Linked DNA regions of Astyanax mexicanus. The protein of the gene in region 2 purifies or fractionates together with the protein of the main gene of each other region. This does not show direct contact. Links are inferred from orthologs where the notes say so. Each region holds a gene or a part of one and is shown on either strand. Other genes may lie near its edges.

What was found.
Region 1: the proteins of Na(+)/H(+) exchange regulatory cofactor NHE-RF2 (region 2) and prkd1 purify together in Homo sapiens (affinity purification with mass spectrometry; 3 studies listed by BioGRID and IntAct, with this or other methods). This does not show direct contact. The link is inferred for Astyanax mexicanus from reciprocal best matches to the Homo sapiens genes NHERF2 and PRKD1.

The regions. Positions count from the first base shown.
Region 1 is NC_064421.1:45,645,794-45,656,086, reverse strand, and holds the start of prkd1 (serine/threonine-protein kinase D1), read right to left. Parts: upstream 6,198-10,293; 5' UTR 5,840-6,197; coding exon 5,675-5,839; intron 1-5,674.
Region 2 is NC_064426.1:39,176,258-39,186,550, reverse strand, and holds the start of Na(+)/H(+) exchange regulatory cofactor NHE-RF2, read right to left. Parts: upstream 5,187-10,293; 5' UTR 4,687-5,186; coding exon 4,480-4,686; intron 1-4,479. Other genes in the region: tspan35 (tetraspanin 35), read right to left, coding at 8,651-8,704, 9,982-10,074.

The sequences.
Region 1 (10,293 bases), on a different chromosome or scaffold from region 2:
GAGCGGTGCTAGCCAGGGTTAGCAGCAGGTTATCGGCTGATAATACTCATCTCTAAAGAGCAAAAGAGCTAGCACATAGTGCCGTTAGCGGTTAATGCTAATACTGCTTCAGCCTCAGTACTGGAGAATTAAACTGAAACTCCTGTATAACTCTGTACTTCAGCAGAGTGGCTTTACTGCTCCTTAATACCTGACTGGTAAAATTCATACACAAGGAGCACCGTTTTATAAGGCGCACTGACGATATTTGTAAAAATGAAAGGTTTTTAAGTGAACCTCATAGTGCACAAAAACAATGTATCACAAACAAAAACGAGACTATAATTGTGATCTTGATATTTTGCCTCACCCCTAATTTTTTTCTCCAACAGAGTAAAGAAATCTGAATTAGCAAGTTTCTATTGAATAAAACATTTCACATAAACTTGAATATTTATGTTATATTATCATTGAATTATTTAAAAACAAATTACATTAACAGACTTTCCACATGGCTGTGGTCCACAGTGAAAAGACAGAAACCAGTGACTGTGACTTTCCATCGGAAAGAACACATTCATGTACAGTCTTTATAGCTCGAGAGGAAAAACAATTAATGCACAAACACACACACACACACACACACATTCTCGCACACTGACAAAGAAACACCATTTTCAGAGTCTCTCCGTACAGCACTGTCGCCATCATTTTCATGCACACATATCAACATCTCACATCTGACTATTTAAAGTGATAAGAGCTCTGAGCACTTATACTCCCAGGGCCATCAGAATCTGAGAATGTGTCTGCGAGGTGTTAAAGGAGTTAAGGTTAAATCTGTTGTTCTTACCCCCTCTGCTTTTCTATTTTCAATATATTAAACACATCCTTCTATTTTTCCAAAACACAAGCTGACAGCCTCACGCCTGTTAAAAAAAAGGTGTTCCTTATTCAGCTTTGGATTATTATGCTTATCAAAATACTGAGCCGCGATCTAACACGTACACTTCTAAAAACAGACTGTAAATTTCTTTAAACTGTGAGCAAATAAGTTCGGAATAATAACAGCGTTTAAGCATAACACAGCAGAAGTAAAGAGAAAATATAAAGACTTCAGTGTCGTCACATAAAGGCTTTGAACAAAATGGATCCCTACTCCTCCAAAAGTATTGCGCTATAAAGGGAAGGACTGTTTAGTTTACTAACTAATGGCAGAAACCCACATACATTTGGACATTTGCTTTATCATTAACACACATCAACAATGGTCATATAAACCAACATGTGATTGGCTGAGACATGTTTAAAACTAATATTAAGTTGTTTGTGAAATAATCTTTGAAATTTCATTTATATTTTTTATTACCTTTATTTATTTTTTATTATCTTTATTAATAGAGCCTGTTAGAGAACTTCATGATATCTCGCTAACCTTAGCAAACAACTTATTTACCTTATATACCACCTTAAATGCACAACACCAGCAGTTTCAAAACATGCCTCAGTACATGTGCTTTTTACTTCCTCAGTGTTACTAGAGCCTGATAGAGTAGTTAAACAACAACTCATTTATTTTATACTCATTCTAAAATTTTCAGTTGTTCATGAAATAATCTTTGACCTTTTATTTATAATAAAAAATATTAAAAAAAATATTACAATGTGTTTTTTCGCAGTTGTCCTTAATTTTAATTATCAGTTTATATAACAAATTTAAATATTACTTAAACTTAACTGTGGTTTATTACATCTGATATCAATTTTTCTAGCCTAACCAGGCATGATTACTGCCACACCTGTTCTCAATCAACAAATCACTTAAATAGTACCTGCTTGACAGGTGAAGTAGAAGTGAAGTTGATGAAAATATACTCAAATGCTAGATATCATGCTAATATCCAAAGAAATACAGAAATAAAAACAAAAAAACAAAAAACAAAAAATGAGATCTCTTAGTCTGGAAAATGTTACAAAGCCATTTCTAAGCCATCATACACAAATGGAAAAAACGTGAAAAGTTGTGAACCCTCCTAGGAGTGATTGGCAAACCAAAATTATCCCAAAAGCACAGTGACGATCCATCCAAAAGGTCACAAAAGACCCCACATCAACATCCAAAGAACTGCAGGCTTTACTAGCCTCTGCTAATGTCAGAGATCATGACTTCACCATAAGAAAAAGACTGGGCAAAAATGGCCTGCATGGCAGACTGCTAATATATAAACCACTGCTGAGCAAAAAGAACATTTAGGCTCAAGGCAATTTTGCCAGAAAACAATTTGTTGATCGGCAAAACGTTTGGGAAATTACTCTGTGTCCCATTACATCTGGCTTAAAAGTAACACTGCATTTCAGAAAAAGAAACACCTACAGTAAAACATGGTGGTGGTAGTATGATGGTCTGGGACTGTTTTGCTGCTTCAGGACCTGGAAGACTTGCTGTGATAAACAGAACCATGTATTCCACTGTCTACCAAAAAGTTCTGAGGGAGAATATCCGGCCATATGTTTGTGACCTCAAGCTGAAAGAGCTTGGGTTCTCCAGCAGGACAATGACCCAGAACACACCACATCTGAATGGCTAAAGTGGCCTAGTCGAAGTCCTTCCCTAAATCTGATTTATATCCTTTGGTATGACCTTAAAAAGGCGGTTTATGCTTAAAACTTCCCCAATGTGGCCCCAGAGATGAGTATGCCAAAATTCTTCTACAGTTATACTTTTTAGTGGCAAAAACTTTTACACAGGGATTTTTTTCCCCTTAATTATAAAAACTTAGTTTAAAAACTGCATTTTGTGTTTACTTGTGTTGTCGTTGATTGATATTTAAATTTGCATTACCACAATATGTGTCTTAAATTTGGTTCATAGTAGCATCTTTTTATAAAGCAGGATATTTTGTTTTTATGTTTTTGGCATTATATTTAACATACTGTATATTGTGGCATTATAATGAGCTGATGCCGTCTTATTGGCACAAGCAGCTGATCCTGACCCTGAAGGCCTTTGCTGGAAAGTTATTATCAGTCCAGTTTTAGTATTTTCTCACAAATGAACAAAGCAAAAATTTTGCATATTCACACAGATATTAGGCATGAAGTCAATAGACTTTGCAGAGATAGGATGTGCACCAAAACATTAATGTCTATCACATCCACAGGGTCTTAATTTGGCCTTGCCTACAACAAAATAAAACAGTGCTTACATTTCCAACGACACAAAACATGGAACACTGCCAGCAGGAGATAAACAACAATGCTGGGAAATCTCAAGCCAACTGTAGCCAACTGTCCTTTAACGTTGTTTTTATTTCCACTAAAGGTTGGTCGAAAACTTGAAAAAACTTTTAAGTTGCATTTCTTTCAATTAATTGTGAATTAATTGTGTGATATGTGTTATATTATGGTAACACATCATAATGTAGTTCTGATGTTAAAATTAAGCTGCATCCAATTACACACACTAATAACATTGGGTGTATAGTACTTACTAGTCATAATAGAGTGGGTTTTTTACCAATGAAATGCTGTGTGTCATGATCAGAACATCTATAGAACCTGTTGGATCAAGTCAATGGCAACCTAAATCATATGATAAAAGAATTGCCTCCGTTTTTTTTCTCGTGCACATGTTAACAACTTACATAAACTTGGAGGATGGAAATCCCTCTACTAAACTAGAACACAGAGATTAGATAGAACTTGAATGTGATTACTTGTATACACTTTATTCATCTACGTCACCATCGTCTACCAAAACGAGGATGTGGGGTATGGAAGTAGCATTGGAAAACTGGGTACTAGCAATGCTAACTCACTGCTGCGTTCCCAAATAACGTACACTTCTTCAAAAATAAATAAATCTTATAAAGTTCAAATCTTCCATAATTCCTCAAAACATCCTGTACTTTACCCTGAATGGATTCACAAAATCAGTAGAGATTGCCATTTTAATTTAAGTATGTACGATACTATGCTAGCTATCTAGCTAAGCTAGCCATTTTGGTATTACCCAGCTAGCCAATCTAGCCAGATGAATGTTAGCAGAGAGACAACAGGCTAGCTAAACCTGGGTCTCTAGCTTTGATTGATGAACCCTGAACTGGTCATTTGGCAATGGTTAATTTCAAGTGTGTGAGGTTAGTTGTCCACACAGGCGCTGCCATTTAAACTGAAGGATATTCTGCCTGTTCCCTCACTGCCTTGGAGTTTCCAGTTTAGAAGAGTACCCCGTCTCATTTTTCATTTCAACATGAGCGTAGAGTAAATAAGGTGCATGGTATGTCTTTGAAAGATGAAAAAAGATAATTGGTAGAGAACAACTCAATACTTTGAACAACTTTAACACAAGTTAAAAAGGGAGGCATAATTTTAATTGCTGGCTAATCTCGGCATCCATAACCACAAAAAAATGTCTATCAGCTCCAGACGGTCTTACCTAGTTACTTTTTGATGCAAAACCTGCAACACTGATAGGACAAATTTAAAGAGTAAAAAAGAGAATTCTGAAGCCAACAGAGCTGAGCACAGTGTCCTTCAGAGTACTTTCTTTTCTGTACAGTCTGTACAGAGTGTATTCAGGCTTTATGCTTGGGTGAGTGCACTTGAGAGACATAGGGAGACATACAGCTTTTACCTTTTTACCAGCAGAATGGAAAGAAATGATGGAGGCCTAGCTTCTTTTTAACTTTTCTACTGTTATTTGACTTTTCCGCCCACCTGACCTTCTGCATGCTTGAAATGTAAATAGATTTGTACTACTAGTTAACTAACTAGAAGAGTCTTGTGACCTGGGGTTTCATGGAATTTTATGGAAGAGGGAAACACTGGGTTACTGAGTCACAGGAGAGGACAGTGTAGTGTGTGTGTGTGTGTGTGTGTGTGTGTGTGTTTGCCAGTAACACTGCAGGCCAGCCTCTCCTGAAACAGCACTTCAGTGGTCGCACGTCAGAACGTGTCGTCAGCAGTCAGCAGTGACTTTACAGGCTGAAGTGTTGATGCCAGTTTTGCATTCAGATACAGTAAGACCACTTGTTAGAAGCTCTAAACTCGCCAGCTTCCTTCCAGCATCAACTTAAACTCTCTGTTTATATGTTTAAAATGTTTGTTGGGTCTTTCGGTAAGTAGAAAACACAGGACACAGCCTCAGTTCAGTGAAGTTAGTTACCTAGCTAACAAGCTAACGCTAGTTAACTAGCTAACTAGTTAGCCTGGCGTTACCTTGGTTACCACATATTGGTCAAAATAAGTAGTTAGCTAGTTAGCTAACTAGTAGCCTAGCCTTCACTGTAAGTTATACAGTGATACAGTTCACGTATAACTTAGATAACCTAGTTAGCTAACTAACCTAGCCAGTTTTATCGTTTAAAATGTTTCAAACTCACAAGTAAACCCATATACCGGCTTTTTTTACTTTCTGACCTAAAGAACAGCGCTGTGTCTAACTAAACCCTCTTCAGCACCTCAGCGGAGACCCCGCTTTCCCATGGCGGTTCTAACGTTGCTAACGTTAGTTAACGACGAGTAAAACGCAATAGAAAAGTTCGTTTAACATTTTCTATCCGCACTTATTTACTTATCATTCGCTCCACACTTTATCTAAGCTAGCTCACTAGCTAAGCTACTTCCCAAGCGCACCGAGGAACCCAGCGCACATGCGGTGTGAGGAGAGTAACGTTACCCGGTGAGTTTTTACCTTCTGGTCCACGATGGAGCACGCCATTTCTCGGACCTGCGCTAGACTGAAGTCCCCCGAGTCCAGCAGCACCGGCTCCCGGCTCAGCCCGATCTGGATGTGGAAGGAAACGCCCTGGGAGCCCGGGACGGGGCTGGGCGCCCGGATCACCGGAGGGACACTCATGAGAATCCCCGAGCGGTCACGGCTGGACAGCGGCTGGTCAGTCTGCTCTCAGTCTCGGTCAAACGCGCTCCGCTTCTCGGAGGAAAATAATAAATACAAACTTCGACTCGCCCCCCCTCCAAAAAAACAGAAACACACAGCACAGTGTCTGTCCTAGAGGTAAAACGACGCGGGGAAATATATTATAGCTAATAAACCTGACCGCATTTAGAAGCTGTGAAACGCAAAGCGCTTTTTTGGTCATTGAGAAGCGATGCTGATGGAGCCATAGACGTCAGATATGTTTAATGTTGGGCTCTGATAGACACCGCCTCCTGCCTGTTCCGGTTATCAGAGCGAGGTGCCTAACGCTGAGATTTATCTGCCTGGGCTTTAGAACTGTTACTCAGATGTCTGTCCATTAAAGTATTAACAGTATTAAAGTATTTAGAGCTTCTTTTCATTTCTATCTATTTTACCGGAATGATTTGCTTGCTTTAAACGCTACTGATTTAAAGCCTGTTTATTATTTTAACAGTTATACATGCAGACTCAAAAGAACGCACACAGTAAAGTTATTCAGACTGTGAAATAAGTAGTAAGTAAGTAAGTAAAATAAAAAGTCAGCTTAAGTTTGATTAATTAATAAACTGAACTGTTAGTAGACTTATAAAGTGGGAAAATATTTTTAGTAGGAATTCAATTGTTTGACTGATGCCCTAACAGGTGTCATTGTAAAGAGATAATAAGTTATTCACTTTGGAGGTGTTAATGTTATGGCTGTTCAGTGTTTAATATACCACATACACAGTCCCATATTAACTGTGGGTACATTAACTACCAAACACAGTCCCATATTATATAACACACGTTCACTGCAATGACGGGACAGTGTTTTTAGTAAAATGGGACTGTGCTTTTTAATGTAGTTAATATTGGACTATGTATTTGAAATACATCATGACAGTGACAGTGTGTTTGATAATATGCGATGGTCTTTGGCAACATAGCCACAGTGTATTTTAAATATATAACAAACACACTGTCCCAAATTACCAAAATGCACTGCCATTTAACCATACAAAACGTCCCATATTAACAAACACAGTACCATCATGATGGGACAGTGTATTTGGTAACATAGGACTGTATTTGGTAGCCACAGTTTTTATTTATTTTGTATTTTATATATAACAAACACACTGTCCCATATTATCAAACACACTGCTCCATATTACTGCACAATACACTGTCCCATATTACCAGAAATAAACTGTCCTATGCTACCAAACACTGTCCCATATTACTACACAATACAGTGTCTATATTACCAAAATGCACCGTCCTATACTACCAAACTCATTGTCCCATATTATCAAACACAGTCCCATATTACCAAAACATACAGTCCCATATTACCAAAACACACAGTCCCATATTACCAAACACACTTTCCTGTATTACTAAACAATACATTGTCTCATAGTAGCAAATATACTTATATATTATCATATAACACACAGTCCCACTCTAACATTTTAATTCTAGTTATGCATTGCATGACAGCATCCACTTGGCAAGTTGTATATTTGACCTGATTTCTGGACAAGGTTGCTGTAAATCCTGTATATGTTTATTAATGTAGACATGTATGGCTTTCAGAGAAGCCTATAATAAGTTGTTACAGATTGTGAGGTAGTAATAAAAGACACTGTATACTTATTTTTTTACAGTTTCACTTCTAGTTTGATTATTCTGTAAACTGGAAAAAGGAAATACTGAAAGTAGGCCTTATAAGGAATAACAATTAAACCAGACTAAACAAAGTGCATCAGTGGGCCTTGGGCACCCATATCCTGTCACTGGTTCACAGGTTGCCCTTCCTTTTTTTGGTAGGTAGTGACATCTGCATAGCAGGAACATCCCACATGACCTGCAAGTTCTCTATCAAAGTGTTTCTATCCATCACAGTTTAAGCCTGATCAGACTTGTTTAGATTCTAAAATGTGCCATTTTCTTTCTTCTACCACATCAACAACTGACTGTTCTATTGCTGCCTAATTTTAGCACCTTAGCATCCACCTAGCAACAACTTAACAAACACTTCAGATATCAGAGCATCCATTAAGAAACACCACAGAAACCAATTTGGATACCTTAACAACCATCTCTCATGATACTGTAGTAACCAGTTAGTAACAGCATAGCAACCACTAAGCAATACAACCAGTTACCACCCCTGTAACTACGCAACCATCCTGCACAAGTGCAACGTATCAGTAAAAGTTTTACCTCATAGAATTTGAGTTTTTTTTTATCTCATCTTTATTTCATAATGTATCATATTCTGTTATCATTCTGTTATCTCGCTACCTGTCTGTCTGTCTGTTCCTTTGTCTGTCTGTCTTTGTAGAGATACCAATTTATACTACTTTTGGAAATTCCCAAATACCATAATTCTTCTCAGCAGCATATGGTAAGGCTTAGGGTTTATAAGGTCATTTTTTTTAGCCATTTTATCACTTTTTCTGTATGATTTGTACTAAGACATTTGCAGGTATTGAGGACTATGTTTAATTGGATGTGTATTCATTTACATTTTTATTACTTTACCTATTTATGTGTATTTAATGATTTTTTAAGAAATGTAATATAAATATATCATATATCAGACGAACACAGTAATATTTGAGACGTTAAAAATAACTTTATAGCTCTTTGACCCTTGATCTACATGCACAGGTGAATTCAATCATGTGAAAGGGTTAAGGTGGCCAAATGCAATTTGTCTCCTCTTTGCAAAATCCTCTGTTTTCTCCTCTGTTCAAAATCTACCAAGGCATTCATGCAGAGTAACAAGTACAACGTTCTGGAATGGCCATCTGAAACCTGACTGAACTGGAGATGTTTTGTAAAGATGAATGGTCTAAAATGCTTCCAACCGGAAGACAGACTCTCATTGGAAGCTATAGGAAGTGTTTAAAGGCTGTTATTTTTGCAAAAGGAGGATCTACTAAATATTGATGTAATTTATGCACCTGCCTAATTTGGTTTTAAGAATTATTGCACACTGTCTTTAAAGCATATGAACTTCATTTCACTTCTCATATATCACAGTCTTTGTCTGCTATATGATATATTTAACTGAAATTGTTGATATGAACAACCAATGATTTATAAAGGAAAATCATTAAAACTATCAGGGGTGCCCAAACTTTTTCATATCACTGTATGTCTGCACCAGATTCTAAGGGTACATGGTCTAAATAATTTAGCAGATTTATTGGACGTGTCTGTGATTGGAACTCAATCCATTTTTGTAGAGCTGGCTGTTTTAGCTGGCTGTAGTAAACTGTGTTTTTTGCAGCCGTATATTAATTGACGGAGGAGTAATGAGGGGAAATCTCAGCGTGAGTTAGCTTGCTATAAATTGAGCTATTTTTCCCTCAGGCTGAACCGAGTGCCCCATTACAGCAAGTGGCTTTTATTTGAATTGCAACTTTACATATTAAGATGTAAATAACTCAGTTTGACCAGGCTCGAGTGGGCCAACTGTGCTCCTGCGTCAGCATGTGTGCCGGCATGCTGTCAACAGGAGGGCTGGAGGACTCGCGGTTGCTAGGGGAGACGGGCCAGCTGAGGCCGCTCCTCCCACGCCCGCTGCAACCTGGGTCTCTTTCTAAAACGCAGACTCGCATCTGTGCACTTGCGCACTAACAAGTCTGCGAAAGGTATATCTGGGGTCTTAAATGTATTAAAAGTATTTGCATATGTGGGCTTTAGAGCAACCATTAACTAAGCAGCTGTAAAGCATACATTACATTTTCAGTCGAAGGTTTAAAACTGTTAATTGATTCTTCTTTTCACTAGCAGACTAAAGAGGAGTCGGGGTGGGCAAGAACCCCCCCTTGGTGCCCCTATGGTTCAAAAAGTGTTGCTAAATGCTCTCTGGAGAGGCAAAAAATGATCAGAATACCCTACTGGCTACAATGTTTGTAACGTGTTTTAACAAGTGCCCATGCTTTGCTGCCCTTCTAATATACTAATAAAGAATGGCAAATATGAAGTGTCTTCTGTGCCAGCCGTAAAAGACACCCGAAAAGTGTCCAAAAGGGTGCTCTTTCCAGTAGAGAAAATGTGATATATTGATATACAGGGTTCTCCTACAGTTGAAATAACATAATGTGCCTTATTAGGTGCCCCTCTAATGAAAATGTGCCACACCAGTGGATTAAATGGGATGTGATGCCCAATAGGTGCCCATTGCCACTAGATAAACTGTATTTGATGTCAGACATTGGGCCCTATTGTACACCCTGCACAAACCACATTGCGATGCTTGTTGTCTCCAGGCACAGGTGACTTAAATTTAAGATGGTGGCGCCCAAAGATATATCTACACTTTGGGATGTAAAGAGTGGCTTTTAATAAACTTCTTGTGCAGTTTTAAAATTCTAAATGCCTCATTTTAAATG
Region 2 (10,293 bases):
ATACTGCAATGTATTTGAATGTCTGTTCTAGATAGATAGATAGATAGATAGATAATCTATATATATATAAGGGCATAAAAAACTTTCTATACAAGATAAAAATCTATCTGTAAACAGAGCAGTGCAGTACATGTTGTTAATAGTCATTAAATAATTAACAGAGCAAAGTGCAAGGTGCAATGACATTGATATAAAAGTCACTGATGTGCCATATGAATATAAATATAAAAATACATAAATATAAATATGCATACATAACAAATATAGTTCTGAAAAGTGAATATGTGAAAACCCAATCATGAGTAAAGTGTACTTGAATGTAAGTGAGGTTGGGCAAGTGATAGTGTAAAGAATTAAGAATTAAGTAGTTGAATAATGTCCATGTGGTGGGACTGGGTTAAATATAAATACAGGAAAACAAAGATTGGATTAGTGTTTCAGAATCACTGATAAAATTTAATAAAGGCATTATAAACAGATTATAGCATTTGATGAAATAAATACACAAAAACTCAAATTTTAGGCTTGTTATGGCTACTGCACCTGCGCTGATCTCCACCACCACCATCCCACCTGCTTGCTACGTTCACCCTCCTCCACTCACTGTGCAAGCATTCACCGTGCAATCTGATTGGCTGTTTTTGCTTAAGGGCGGGACTATATCCTTGAATGGGTGCAAAGATTAACGCTATAAGAGTAGTTTGTGGCATGTCTCCTTAATAATAAGGTACATACTAGTGCTGCACAATCTTGGAAAACTTTTAGATTGCAAATGTTCATTTTTTGACAATATTTATCGCAATATAAAACAATGCAGGGCCCATAATGTCACCAGCCCCAGACCAATCAAGAGCTGAGTCAGTGCCGAGCTCTCAAAACAAGAGGAAAACAGCAAAACAACAGTAACCGGCCCTTTAATTAGGCATTTAAATGGCTTTTTAAAAGGTAAATAAGAGCGTTTTTCTGGGATTAAAAGGGTGAATTCAGCTGTAACTGAAAATGTGCTGGACTGAGGTGCACAGCTTTCCACACGTGCTCACGTTTTTAAGCATGTGCCCAACCATGTGGATGGAGGCCATGCGGTTACCTCGTCTTTACTCATGCCTCCCTCTACCCTCGAGCTCCCCCTCCCCCTTGTGCTTCTCAGGCAGCAGCAGCCTGTCACTCACACAGACACAGAGACAGCGCTGTGTATCTACTTCTTGTGTCAAGAATCAAAACATTGCAACATGACGTGTTTAATTAAATTGCCTTAAGTCTTGCGATGTGACTATTGTGACTATTGCGCATGCACACATCACCATGACGATGTTTAAAGTATATATTCTGCTACATTAATGTTTAATTTGTCAAATTTAACTCCTTTAAACACGGCAGACCCTTAAAAATTCACTAACAAACAGCCTGGAACAAGTGCTAGTTATGTGTTTATCCTCTTTAAGTTCAAATATTTTCAATAATTATAAATCTGTAATATTTCTCATACTGTATTCTTTATTCTAACATCAATAAAGGCCTGTTCAGTACAGCGGCCATCAACAGAGCACTCGTCTCTAAGCATGCATCAGAAAAAGAGCCTTTGAATTGCATTCAAGCTCTCGGTCCTCACTGCCGTATTGTGTTTGGGATGAAAAAGGGCCAGATGTCCCAAACAGTCAATCAAACAGACAGACCCACACATGCACAGAGCTCTGAAACGAGCCGCGAGCCCAGACAGCCAGATTCTCTTCACTCAGCCAGCCAGTGCTTTCCTGATTAACTATCTCAGCCTTTATTTACATCATCTGTTTATGAAGCTGAATTTAGCTGAAGTTGCAGATCCACAGAGCCACATTATCATCACCACAACAAGCACACGCTACTGATCCACCTGATTCACCACTTCCACCACCAGTGCAGGTACCAGATCTGTCTACAGTCACGTGATTTTGGAGAAAGTCGGGTCCATTCACAAAATAAGACTCTCTGGAGAAACGATCCAGCATAAAAACATAAAAACATGGAAACATGGCTGGTCTGTAATGTTAAAGCCACTGGCTGAGTCTCAAGCAGGTCCCTGTTGGGAGTGTAGTGCACTATTTGCATGCAGAAGCCATTATTGTTTCTAGAGCGCACTACATAAGGAGTACAGAAGGAGCCACTTGAGGCTGGGTCAGTGTTGATGTTGGATGAGGGGTAATGCTGACTCGGCCTGTGATGGGGATGCTGGTGGAAGCATTAGCTGATTGTATTGTGTCTGTAAAGCTGCCAGACATGTACACTGCTATGATTTTCCAGTTTTGGGGAGCCTGTGCCAAATTCTGCCTCCGGCATAGTTTAATACCCTGCTAAAAAAATCCAGCTCAATGGTAAAGCTGGTTAAATCAGGTTAATCAGTAAAAAACAAATAGTTCACCAGCATTTCACTGGTGCAGTTCATGTATCATGCATGTTGTCATGCTTGTCAACCAGCTTGTTTAGGCTAATTATGGTCAACTAGGGGTGGGAGAATATATTGATTTTGGGATGTATCTGAAGAGTTTCAATCTATCTATCATATCGTATCGATTTGTGGTGTCAAATATCAATATTTTTCCTGAAACATAGGCTGCTTCACTGCTTTACGTGGTATTGCTAATCAAATTAATAGGGTAAACCTGCACTGAAGAATAACATTACATTTAATTACATTTGGCAGATGCTTTTGTCCAAAGCGACAATAGTCAAGTACAAAATTAATAGAAGTTTAAAGGTAAAACATCTTTAGACAGGGCCTAAAGGAGGTCGAAGGAAAATAAAGGGATAGAGAAGTGAAGGAGGGGAAGAGGAAAATGAAGTTAGAAGTAGTTAGTGTGTTAGAGGTGTTAGGAGAGTAAGTGCTCTTTGAAGAGCTCTGTCTTCAGGAGTTTATTAAAGATAGTGAGAGATTCTCCTGATCTGGTAGTAGAAGGTAGTTAGTTAGAGGTGCTAGGAGAGTAAGTGCTCTTTGAAGAGCTCAGTCTTCATGAGTTTATTAAAGATAGCGAGAGATTCTCCTGATCTGGTAGTAGAAGGTAGTTAGTTAGAGGTGTTAGGAGAGTAAGTGCTCTTTGAAGAGCTCTGTCTTCAGGAGTTTATTAAAGATAGTGAGAGATTCTCCTGATCTGGTAGTGGAAGGTAGTTTGTTCCACCATTGGGGAACTCTGTATGAGAACAGTCTGGATTGCTTTGTGTGAGTGTTTGGCAAAGCGAGGCGACGTTCATTAGAGGAGCGCAGCGGCCGGGAGGTAGTGTAAGCCTTCAGGAGTGATCAGTGCAGTTAGGAAGGAGCCCAGTGAGGTATGTTCTGAATATGGGTTGTAAAACTCTGTGATACTGAAACTTCTTGGTATTTGATTACATAGGAGTATTTTATCATATTGTATCGTAGAGAATTGTCTTGTGATATATTGAGTATCACAGAATCACAGTATCATAATATCATCGTAATTGTGGGCAACATATTTTACTTGGCTTGGTCAGGCTTGGTCATACGACCGGTCAAATCGATCATGTGTCCAGTCAAAAAGACATCATTACACAGTGTTTGTATGAAATAAAAAAAATAAAGTATAAAGGGGAGACAAAATACACATAATGCTGATACTGAGTCTAGTTTTAGTAGTTTTATATAAAGTTTGAGGACAACTGGTTTTAAAATTTCTAACATTTGCCAAACAACTATGGCGTGTCTCCATGTATAGGCTGTTGGATGACCTAACCAAGCTTTTATGTTGTTGTTATTGTGTTATCTTGCTTACTAACTAACTAAGCTAGACCCTACCAGAGCTTGTTTTAAGGTTGCTTTTCCATCATCCACCTTAAAAGATCTAGTGACATTATACATATATATTATATAGCCTAGCTATACTAAAACTTCTAAGTATCTAAGTATTAAAAGTATCTTATCTACAGACTTACTTACTTTAGACCCTACCAGAGTTGGTTAACTGATAATGCATATAAGGCAATGTTAAATAATAAGGGTTGTTTTAAGGTTGTTTTTCCATCATCAACCTTAAATGCAGCCCTAAAAGATGTGGTGAATGTTCTTTGCTATTAGGGTAGTAGCTTATCTACAGCTCTGGAAAAAATTAAGAGAGCACTTAAAAATTATGAGTTTCTTCAAATTTTACCAAATTTGAAAACCACTGGAATATAATCAAGAGAAAGATGGATGATCACAAGCCATCAAACCAAACTGAACTGCTTGAATTTTTGCACCAGTAGTGAAAGCATAAAGTTATCCAAAAGCAGTATGAAAGACTGGTGGAGGAGAACATGATGCCAAGATGCATGAAAACTTTATGAATATGAACTTGTTTTCTTTGCAATATATATTTTTTGTTATTTCAGCCATTTCTCATTATCTGGAAAGACATGCTCTAATTGACAATATTTTTATTTGGAATTTGGGAGAAATGCAGATTAACTGGTTCAGAAACTGTATTAGACCCTACCAGAGTTGGTTTAACTGCTCACCTGATGGTGGGTCTCTCTCTCCACGTTCTCTCCGTTCACCTCCACCACCCGGTCCCCGGCCCGGAGCCCCGAAGCCTCGGCGGGGGAGGCGGGCTCGACCTTGCGGATGTACTGGCCGCTCTTGCCCTTCTCTCCGTGCAGGTGGAAGCCGTAGCCCTGCTCCCCCTTCGCCATGCAGCACAACCGCGGCTTCAGCTCGCTCGCCATGCCGGGGGGCGCGCACCATACACCGGCAGCCTACGCTCAGGACTCGGGCTTTAGCTCCAGAAGCTCCAGCGGTCAAAATCTCCAGCGGTAGCGGTCACCCTGTGCGCTCCAAGCGGCTAACCCCAAACTTCTGCCCCGCTGGAGAGTACGATAAGCCCGGGGAGATGCATCGCGCCATACGGAGCAAACCCGAGTTGAATCCGGATCGTTTGGTGTGTTCTGTTTAATCTTCAACGGTGAAACGAATTAAAGAGATCCGGATTATTGTAGATATTCCAGATTACAGACTGGATCACTTGTAGAGCATCCTGGAGGAGAAAAAAAAGTAGTGCGCAACAGGCGCGTTATCCACTATGTATCCATCTAACAACCCCAGAGCAGGCTTCGCTCCATTCTCGCCGGTGTGCGCGCGTGCGTGCGTGTGTTTCGATGTTTTCAGTGTGTGTGTGAGTGTGTGTGTGTGTGTGTTTCACAGTGTGTGTGTGTGTGTGTGCAGTGAAAGTACCGCTCCAGCTCTGGAGCTTTCTGGAGCTCTAGCACCGCCCTCTACCACACAGCCAGGCCCCCCTCACTGGGTTTGGATGTTTGCCCCTGTAAACTGGCTCTATCTCCCTGTTTTTACCCTTCTCCCTTTCTTTTTCTCTCTTTCTCTTTCTCTTTTTGTGACATTTAGAATAAGAAGTGTCAGATCTAACATTTCACTGCAGGGCATGAGAATAAACCAGCAGAGAGATCTGATCCGAGACACATTCTGTAAAACCAGAAGCTCTAAACAGCATTGTGTTGCACTGCTTAACCAGCACAGTGCAATGCTGCCCTCTTTTGGTTGAATAACCCCCTTCTTCTTTTTTTTAATATTTTTTGTAAATGTTTATTTAAAGCAGCACTAGGTAGGATTTCCTTGATTTTTGTTCTTTTTTAAGAAGTAAAATTACAGCTTGAAACTCACTGCAGCGCTGCATTGAGGTGTAATAGGAGAAATAGCGGTGCTCTCGTGTCTGTGCCGGAGCTCCTCTGAGCTCAAACCAGTAAGTTTTCCGAGGCGGCTGCGACCAACGCTCGCGAGAACTGTGACCTGCTTTCCGACCTTTAGTTCTAACAGTTCTACAAGGACTACTGGTTCATTCTTTACAAACTAACATACAGACACTCTGGCAGAAGCTGGAAAGAGACTAAATATGTCTGTGAAAGCTAGAAAACAAGAAAGAGAAACTAATCCGCCTGAAACATTTATTACACTCTACAACTGTAGGGGGAGCCCACAAGCACAAACTCTCAATCCTACCTAGTGGAGCTTTAATGTTTCGATGGACTATTTTTTAATTCTTTTTTATTCTTAAAGTTTCGGGTTAATACAAGAAACAACGATAGAAGACAGCATGAAAATATACAAAAGGGAGAAAAGGAAAGAAAGAGGGAAAAATATTATATATATAGTGAGAGTTCATCACAAATTCTTACACTTCTTTTACATTTCCCATTTTTAGACATTCTAAATTATTTTAAAAGTGAGGTAAAGTCTAGTAAAAAAATATCAAATTTTGGTATTGAGGACAAGTATTTACATCGGTGAATGTAGTATTTACTTAATAAAATAAAAATAATAATAATTGAATAATCCCCTTCACAACAACACAGGCCCAATTATATTTCTAATTTGTAGCTTGTTTTGACCCCCTTGGCCCAATTCCATCTCTGATTTGTGTGCTTGCCTACACCTTAGCCTAATCCCATTTCTATTTTTCAGTTTATCCCGACACTTTGGGCCAATCCAATTTCTAATTTTTACCCTTATCAACACCTTGGCCCAATCCCCTTTTTTTTTCAAAATTTTCCCATTTTCTCCCCAATTTTGCACAGCCAATTACCCAACCCACTTATTAGGACCCCCCCCCCTATCACCAGTGATACCCCAACACACCAGGAGGGTGAAGACTAGCACATGCCTCCTCCTATACATGTGAAGTTAGATTCCGCCTCGTTTTGAACTGCTGCTGATGTAGCATTACCGAGTAGCATCACAGCGCTAACGCTCGGAGGAAAACGCAGCGACTCGATTCTGATACATCAGCTCACAGACGCAGTTTGTGCCGATCTACATCACCCTAGAGGAGTGATGAGGGGAAAGAGCGCCATCTACTGTACCCACCCAGAGAGAGCAAGGCTAATTGTGCTCTCTCAAGGCTCCAGCAGCTGATGGCTCAATCCCATTTCTAATTTGTACTTCTACCTACACTTTGGCCCAATTCCAATTGTAATTTGTACCTTTTACTACACATTGGTCCAATCGCATTTCTTCCCTTGGGCTCAATCCCATTCCTAATGTGTAACCTGTCCCTACACCTTGGCCTAATCCCATTTCTGATTTGTACCATTACCTTCACTTTCGCCCAGTCCTATTTCTTATCTTTTTAGTCATGGTGAACATATTTATTGCTTTTTTATCTTTTAATATTTGTATTATTTATCTACTAGCTTTTTGTTTCTTATCCTATTTGATATTAGTACCAACTGATTGTAGAAACAAATAGTACTAATGTTATGGGTACCATATATATATATTTTGCCATAAGATGGCAGCACTGGCCTTAAAAAGCTCATTTATCTTTTCAAAATAATAAAAATATATTTGTATGACTGATATAAACTTCCTCCTGGACAACTTGAGCAAATAAATATTATATCATGTTTTTTATCAACATTTGAAGATACAAGTTCTGTATTGTAGATTAATACTGGAATTATTTATTAAACAAAAAGTGTTAAACAAACTAGAATATGTTTTTATTAGCTCCTCTTGTTTAGATAGAGACAGTGTTGCACATCTTGATGTTTATTTTCTCTGTGCTCATCAAGAGTTAATTACTTGAATTTCTTGTCTCTTAATAAAGTGTTTGAGAGCATCAGTTAAAGTAAAGTAGTGAAGAGGTAGAGTTACAGGTATACAGTGAATAGTGAATATTTGAGTAATGTTCTAATCCAGATTATGAGAAGCAACAACTACTCAACTAAGTGAAAATGATTTTAAGAAATGAAGATCACTCAATTCCTAAATTTCAAGAACTACAGTTACAAAGACCATCAAAATTTTATGATAAAACTGGCACTCATCAGGAATGAGTTCCCTGTGTTGTACAGAATAAGTTTATCAGAGTTTCCAGCCTCAGAAACCACAAGTTAACAGAGTATTTTGGTTTGTTTAACACTTTTAAGTTACTACATGATTCTTTATGTGTTCCTTCATAGTCAACATATTTAACCTACATTAGAAAAGCCTGGTAATGAAAGCAGAATAATGAAAACACACCACACACAAATAAGACATCTGGATTTTATTATTAATCAGGTTAAAAACATACACTGTTATCCAATTTAAATATTAAATATATATTTATGAATGTTTTTTAAAGAATTGCTGGGACAGTATATATTAAAATGGCCTAGTATGGCATAATGTATTTTATATAAATATAAAGCAAGCTCCATCTGCATTAAAAGTTCTTTGGCATTTTACTGAATGATTCTAGATAAAAACAACATTTTAATTTTATATGTATTAAAATAGACATATTAGTTACATTTACACTTGACTGCGCAGAAACATGGATCATACAAAGTTAATTCACAGGATTAATCACATTATTAACAGTGTACTGAATAATTTCAGGAAAATCCTTCATATGCCTTTACAAAACGTATCAAATTACTTCAAGTAAAAAAAACACAAAAAAAGATAAGTAATCCATTCATTAAATCAAAGTACCTAATTTAATGGATCACATTCTTAAATCAACATAAATGATACTTTAAACTAATCAAATCCTTCACATAATGTCACAATTGTACAAAAGGAAAACAAATGTATAAAATATATTAAAAATGTTACTTAAAATTAGTTTTGTCTGCATTGAATCTGCACATCTGAAATGTCTGGAAGCATCTTTTTCTCAGGATTTCCTCTGCATTATTTTCCCTTTATCTTGCAATACATGATCATGGAGATGGTCATGGCAGTGAGCTAAGGGGTAAAATGTAGAAAAGAGAAAAGTAATTAATTACCATCATTTTAAAACTGTGGAAAAACTGTAGAGTATATTAAATTGAGTCTTATTTTAGCAGGAAAATAAATCAGTGCATAGTGTTTATTAAGTGTATGAGGAAACTTGGACCCCTTGGAGCTGAAACACTGAAAGTGCTTTTCCAAAATGGAGTTAATTTCCGTATTTTTCGCACTATAAGGCGCAGCGTATTATAAGGCAAACGTTTATTTTCTGGTCTGTTTCCATACATAAGGCACATTTTATGCGACAATAGTAAGGAACAGGGGTGTTACCATGTTTTCCTTCTAATTCAGTAGGTCTCACTGCTGGGTGGCGAGACCTGTAAAGCTAAGCTAAGTGAGCCAAAACACATTTTCTTTTAAAGTTAAATTTCCACTGAAGGTGGAGCATTAGCATTAGAGGCTAATTGCTATCAATTAGCAGCTAATGCCGCCCGATAGCGCTACACTGAGGAACCCTGTAACACTGAGTGTTCCAGTAAACCAGGGCGATATCAGCTAGTGGTTCATCCATTGTAGCTTGTTTTATACATATACTCGCCTCTGAATGCCGAAAGAGCTAGTGCTGCAGTTAGCAGCTAGAGCTAATGCTGCTCCAGCAGTGCTAGCCAGGGTTAGCAGCAGGCTACTGGCCGATAAAACTCACCTGTGAATGGCCAAAGGTGATATCAGCTAGTGGTTCTTCCCACGTAGCTTGTTTTAACACAGCAAACACACAGACTACACTCTGATATACTCACCTCAGAGTGGCAAAAGAGCTAGCACTGCAGTTAGCGACTAATGCTAATGCTGCTGCACCCAGCCTTAGTGCTGGAGAAACTTTACTGTTTACTCACCCTGTATAATGCTGTATTTCAGCAGAGTGGCTTTACTGCTCCTTAATACTCGACTGGTAAATTCCATACATAAGGTGCACCAGATTATAAGGCACACTGAAGATTTTGGGAAAAATTAAAGGATTATAAATGCGCCTTATTGTGCGAAAAATATGGAGTTTTGTGTGTTTTTATCACAATAAAGGATTATGAACTAGCTTGTTCATGTTTTGCCATTTAGCACAAGCTAACACTAATATGTGATAAACACTCAGCATATATAGGGCATTGGCAGAAACAGCTTATTTGCATTAAAATGACAGAGCCCTTAAACGGCTTATTCAGAAAAGGACTGAAACCAGGAAGATATGTATAAATTTGAGATTAACTGTACAACAAACAAACGAGGGAATAAGTTACCTCCAGAGCTGCGATTCCCAATGCCACACCTACGATGATAGACGCATTTGAATTTACCAGTGAAACCAGTGCAGGGAAACACCCAGGAACTTTCTGAGGAAATAAAAAGTAGAAATGATGAATGATTTATGCACATTAAAAATTATAAATGCATGTACATTTTTTAATACAGTGTTATGAAAAGGTTTCATTATCAGGTGCACCCCTGATAATTTCCATGATTTTCCATTATAAATAATTGGTTGTTTAGATCAGCAATTTCAGTTAAGTATATCATATAGCACAATGATATTTGAGACATAAAATAAAGTT